2 separate regions of the Mus musculus genome follow, and region 1 is reported to be linked to region 2. Evidence: microRNA targets listed by miRTarBase, many of them from high-throughput screens and not tested one by one. Region 2 holds a microRNA gene; the other region holds the end of a gene's coding sequence.
The links. Region 2 holds the annotated microRNA mmu-miR-1896 (CUCUCUGAUGGUGGGUGAGGAG, at 1,429-1,450, opposite strand). A microRNA usually pairs through its seed, bases 2 to 8, with sites in the 3' UTR of a target mRNA and lowers its output. Matches are read on the target gene's strand: a 7mer-m8 pairs with bases 2 to 8, a 7mer-A1 pairs with bases 2 to 7 and ends in A, and an 8mer does both.

Region 1 (3,095 bases), not on the chromosome of region 2:
TAGGTAAGTGTGGGGCTGCTGCTGGGTGCAGATGGATGTTTTGAGGCGGGAGGGATGTTAGTACTGTATTGTCCATTTGAGGGGTCAGTGAAGGAGGAGTCCCCTATGCACATGCAGTATTGGTAGGTGAGTTGAACTCAAGAGTCTCGACTTGTGCATCTACCCAGGCAGGGCCATTAGGCACCAGAGGGACTTTGCCAGCATTGTGCTCCTGGATCACCGGTATGCGCGTCCTTCTATTCTGGCGAAGCTGCCAGCCTGGATACGAGACCGAGTGGAGGTCAAAGCTACCTTTGGGCCTGCATTTGCTGCTGTGCGGAAGGTTAGGTTTTGTCCCTGTGCCCCAGACCTCCCTGGCTTGAAATGGGGCTTCTCACAGCCTTTTTCTCTCTGCAGTTTCATCGAGAGAAGTCACACCCAAGTCTGGTATAAGCGTCTCATACCCTGCTTGACCTGGCCTTTGTATTTGGCCTAAGAAGATAGAAACCATATGCAGACTGCCAAGTGTACCCCAGCCTTCCAGAGGCAGTGGACTCTAGTGTTCAACTTGCATAGAAAAGCCAGCAGAACATCCTGAAGGAACCTGGCCCGAGACACCTTATTCCCTGCTCAGGTTCAACTTTCCGCCTGGCTTCAGGAGGCTGTGCTAGCAGCAGCTTTCTGCCTGTTCTGAGGTGAGACCCACCTGCCTCTGCCCTTTCTGGAGACAGTTAGCTTTTCTTGGCCTTTGACTCCCATCTCAGGCACCGATGTCCCCGTTTCAAGCATCATTGCCTGACCCACTGCAGTATGACACACACACCATCTGTGCAGAAGAGAGTTTTGAGAAAAAACTAGGACATACATAATATTGAAAGAGCTGACATGAATTTTGACTTTTCTGAAGGACCATCACAAAGACTTGGACCCTGGCCATAGACCTTTCTGTGTCCCACAATTTTTTCTCCTTCTACTTTTCCTCATAAACTAAGAGGCATTGATCCTGTCCATGGCTGTTCAGGACTCTGTGCTCAGAACATCTACCTGAAGACATGTCATTGGGCAAAAGTGTCTCCGTGTTTTTCATTTTTTTCTGCTGTCCCATGAAGGAGAACCCCAGTTAAGAGTCCAGCTCCTTTATATTCAACTGTGGCTGTCCCTTGTGTGAGCTTCAGCAACCTCAGGGGCAGTGCCCTTGCCATTTAGGCAATACACTGGTTGCATACTGCTTGCAAACTGAGAGGAGCCATAGAAGAGGACTTCTTTTTCACAGTTCTTGTGCCGCTTACAGCTCAAAAGAATTCCATTCTTGAATCTTCCTCAGATTGAAATGGTAAGGCTTCTCCAAGCAGTGGTGGCCCACGCCTTTAATCCCAGCACTTGGGAAGCAGAGGCAGGTGAATTTCTGAGTTCGAGGCCAGCCTGGTCTACAAAGTGAGTTCCAGGGCAGCCAAGGCTATACAGAGAAACCCTGTCTTGAAAACAAACAAACAAACAAACAAATGGTAAGGCCTCATACCTGAGGGATAGTGTTTAGAGACAGGACTCCTGTAGGGAGGTAGGGACAGATTTTTTTGTCACTAGTGTAGGGCTTTAGCATACACTAAAGTGCAGCTAGAAGTCCCCATCATAGGAGGACCCAGAGAATGGCAGCCTCTGTAAACCTTGAAGGGTTGTCACTGGGAATCCACTCATCTGTTACCTGTTATAGCAGAGTTCCTAGGCTTACATCCTAGGAATGTCATCCATGTGTCATGGCCGATTAAAAGAACAACTGAACCTACATGAACTTCATGATCAAGTATGAGAATCCTTCTAAATGCAGTTGACAATGTTATGGTAAGAGACATCTGTCTAGAGACAGCATGCAGTGTCAGCTATATAAAGGAGCATTGGGGAGATGCAGTGGGAGGAATAATTGGTTCAGGGGATCAAAGGGGATAGAAGGCTGCAGAATGGAGGGATCCAGAGACCTCATTTTTTGTGTGACCTCCATCAAGCCACTGAGTTGAACCTGGACTACTTAGTATGCACACTGCTCCTCAAAAATGCTTGTTTGGCCTCCCTTGGAAGCTGCAGGACACATGTACATGAGCTCTTTATGGAGAACTCTTCTTTTAACATGACAGCCAGGGTATGTGTCTGGGTATCCGTGTTCATACCAAAACATAAAGGTCAAAGTGCCCAGCCCAGCCCTAAACACGCATCCACTCCCTCCCACTCACTGATCAGCCAAGTGCTAAACACGCATCCACTCCATGTCATCCACTCCCTCCCACTCACTGATCAGCCAAGTGCTGGGAGACAGCATTTCAGTGCAGGGCTCCTCCCCTTATCTTCAGTCCAACCCAGTCCTCCTTCCTGAAGTTGCTCTATGTAGTCCTCTATGGGAACTCAACCTGGACCCAGGTTAAAGGATTCCCAGAAACTGATCTCACTACTACTGTGCTCATGCCCTAAGCACAGTGGAAGGCTTGGCCTGGATATCTTTCTCTGTGTACACAAGGAGGCCCTACCACACGGTTTCTGCCCTTGCTGGAAACCTGGAGACTCCTCGTGCCTAGAGAGGGTCATCTGCAGGACAAGCCTAGGCTGCTTGGCCGAGGCCTGCCAGCTTTTCCAACCTCTCAGGTTCCAGTGATACGTGAAGATCACTTAGGAATTCTTCCAGGGTGTTTCCAAAGAGCAGAGGGACCCCAGTGGATCTAATGAAGTCTGTGGATCACTCAGACAGGATCATCTGGATGTTGGAGTTGATAAGGAGAAAGCAATGCCCTGCTGCAGAGTGGGGATCCCAGCGAAGGAAAGAACCCATGACCACCAGAGGGCAGCAGAGCTCAGCATAGTGCAGTGCAGGCTGGGTGCTCTGGGAGGCAGCAGTCTGGCAAAGTTTCTGTGACTGCCAGGAAATAGGGCATTGAGCTCAGAGACCTGAATCCAAAAACATCCTGCTATGGGAGGCAGAACAACAAATTTCATGACTTTGGAAACCAGGAACACGGGCAGGAGAACCTGATCACATTCTAGGACCATTAATCATCTTCTCTGACAGAGGGAGGGTGGAGGCATGAGCGAGAGGGGGAGAGAGAGAGAGAATGTATGGATGAATGAATGAA
Region 2 (3,095 bases):
GGTCTTATGCTCCCGGTACTGTTGATTTATTGTTAAGAACGTAAACACTTTTTCCAAGATTACATACTACTCAGTGATAAAATTGGCACCATGTCAACTCATCTTCATTTGTCAAAGTACCTTCCCTGCTTAACTTGATGGTCCTCGGGTGACCTGATTTATGGTGCTTTTTTGTTTCCCAGGTGACAAATCATGATCAAGAATATGCAGTCATGCTTAGTAGCTTCTGTGTGTGTAACATATGTCACATAATAAAATATAGAACATTTAAAATAAATCACCTCCCACCACAACCCCTGCCCTTCCCCAAAGCCAATCTGGTTAACACTTTCCCAGATGTCAGGCTGGACGTGGTGGTGCTGTAACTGTGGGACCTGAGAGGAGAGGATTAGGTTAGGCCATGTTATTCTGCATAGTGAAAACTTACCTCAAAAAAAACAAACAAAACCACAGTTTCTTGTAAATCACTCTTTATATATATATAAAATAATCATGAGCAAAATTTTGTTGTTGTTTTTTTACTTTGTGAGGATTGAAGCGATCTCATCTCTTAAGAAAACTTTTACAGAGGATCTGGTTTCAGTTCCTGTCAACTACATTGCAGCTCACAACATTCTGTAACTCCAGTTTCCGGGAACTGGACAGCCTCTTACGGTTTCCTTGGCACTGCATGCATGTTGTGTACATGCATACATGCAAATAAAACACACATAACATGTTTTTACATTTATACACATGGCTTTATTTAAGTATTTCCTGCTATTTGCAGATTCCTTTCCCTGAACACCAAAAATAAAATAATTAGTGATATATATATTTACTATTTCAGGTAAAGAGACAAGGAGTGAGAATGGGAATCTCATTGCAGGGACAGACTCTTGTGGAAGAATGGAATCATCTTGTACCATGACTGAACCCATTGAGGCCCAGTGTGAGGACCTGAGCTTGAAAAAGAATCCAGCCATGCCCAAGGAAAAAACTAACAGCCAATGCTTGGAAACTAAGGAGAGACTTGTTCAGAACTCAGGCCTGATTGAACATGACAGGGCACATACAGGAGAAATGTCCTGGGAATCTGTAGGATCTCAGAGTTCTGTTGCTGCTGACCATCAGGAAATCTCTAAAGACAAAGGTCATCCCTGCCAAGAGTGTGGGAAAGTCTTTCAGAGAAGTTCACACCTCATCAGACATCAGAAAATCCATCTTGGGGAGAAGCCTTACCAGTGCAAAGAGTGTGGAAAAGTCTTTAGCCAGAATGCAGGTCTTTTGGAGCATCTCAGGATCCATACTGGAGAAAAACCCTATCTGTGTATCCATTGTGGAAAGAACTTCAGGCGAAGCTCTCATCTTAATCGACACCAAAAAATTCACAGTCAGGATGAGCCCCGAGAATGCAAGGAGTGTGGGAAAACCTTTAGTCGGGCCCTCCTCCTCACCCACCATCAGAGAGTCCATGGTCGTTCCAAAAGACATCACTGTAATGAGTGTGGGAAAGCCTTCAGCTTGACCTCCGACCTTATTCGACATCATAGGATTCACACTGGAGAAAAACCTTTCAAATGTAATGTGTGTCAGAAAGCTTTCCGCCTAAATTCACACTTAGATCAGCATGTTAGAATCCACAATGAAGAAAAACCCTACAAGTGCAGTGAATGCAATGAAGCCTTCAGGCAGAAGTCTGGTCTCTTTCAGCATCAGAGACATCACCATAAAAGCAAACTGGCTTGATGAGGTTCTCTGTTTGAAACATGGAAATGTTACATTGATAAGCAAACAGCGCCTTTTGAAAGAACTCACGACGGCTTCAGGATTCTTGGAAGCCATTTGCCTCCGTTGTGTCCCTCTCTTGGCTTTACTTAAAGTCATAATTAGACTATAATAATTTACCAGAATAGCAGAATCAGAGTTAAACAAATATTCACTACAGAGCTTCTCAGAGCTTTCAGTGTGATAAGTACTTGATTATGTATCTCTTAAGTATTAGCTTTATGTGTGAATGAAGTGTTTGAAATCAGTAAGTCAAGTGCCTATAGATTTATACAGGACAAGATCAAGCTGATATTTTTGTAAGTACTGTAGCAACAGGCTCCTAAAACATAAAATTAATGAGGGTTGGGGATATGCTCAGTGGTTTAACCAAGTTGCTATGCAAGTGGAAGGACTGTTTTGGATCCCCAGCACCCATGTAAAGTCAAATGAGTATGTGGCCAGCCTGTGGCCTGTGGTCCCACCCCTCAGGTGGCAAAAATGGGATCTTTCTAGCAAGCTGGCTAGCCAGACTAGCTGTATCAGCAAACTTTGGACTCAGGGGAGGGAGTTTGGAGAGCAGTCGGTGGAGTTCTTGAGGAAGACTCCTGATGATAATCTAAGTGCACATGTGTCCATACGTATGTAGAGCCATACCTGCAAACATCATACATGTGAAAAGACAAATCCTAAGGAGCTAGAGTTAGCAGTTAACATACCTGCTCTTGCAGAGGACCCATCCATTTTCAGTTCCTAGCACCTCCATAGCACAGCGTCTCACAGTTCCAGTTCTGGGGATCTGCTAGCCTTCTCAGGCTTCTGTACACAGTGGTCCACAGAAACTGGTGGACACACACACACAACTGGTAAAATATTTTTAAGCCCAAAATAAATCTAATAATGCTTAGAAATACACATCCTCAAGGGTCTAACGTAGGTTAACTGAACATTTTCCCTGTTAGGTTCACACAAACACTGGCTTCATATCCACTTTACCTTTGTACCATCAATGAATGCATTTCTGAAAGCTTTTGCTGTTTAACTATAGAACCTACCCTTAGGATTAGCTCATGTCATTTTACATTTCCTGCCCATTTTAACCACAGTATCACAGTGTTTCAAATTATAAATCAAAGTTTTACCTAAACTATGCAAGAGACTTTGAGTCATTTGAGTGAACTGTGTTGAAGTATTCTAAGCAGCGACCTCCTTACTGGGCAGCAACAGTGCCAGTACAGTGACTGCTTGAAGGACACCTTTTTTCATGAATGTCCCATGGGGGGAAATGGGGTTTTCCCCCTTTGATACCAATGATGCAAATTTAAATGCTACTTGTTTTGATATTATTT

Region 1: miRTarBase lists Ddx11 as a target of mmu-miR-1896. Seed matches in the 3' UTR shown: 7mer-A1 at 1,441-1,447 and 7mer-A1 at 1,620-1,626.

What each region holds. Positions count from the first base shown.
Region 1 is chr17:66,150,407-66,153,501 of GRCm38, forward strand. It overlaps Ddx11 (DEAD/H box helicase 11), which reads left to right. Exons shown (of 27, transcript NM_001348292.1): 25 at 1-3; 26 at 168-322; 27 at 397-1,768. The coding sequence ends at 432. Among named protein-coding and RNA genes, the nearest start is that of Ddx11, 28 kb to the left of the region's middle.
Region 2 is chr13:21,443,564-21,446,658 of GRCm38, reverse strand. It overlaps Mir1896 (microRNA 1896), which reads right to left and starts at 1,499; the gene lies at 1,419-1,499. Zscan26 (zinc finger and SCAN domain containing 26) reads left to right here. Exons shown (of 6, transcript NM_001347491.1): 6 at 830-3,095. The coding sequence ends at 1,728. It overlaps 4930470G03Rik (RIKEN cDNA 4930470G03 gene), which reads right to left. Exons shown (of 4, transcript NR_151504.1): 3 at 2,466-2,588; 4 at 1-1,737.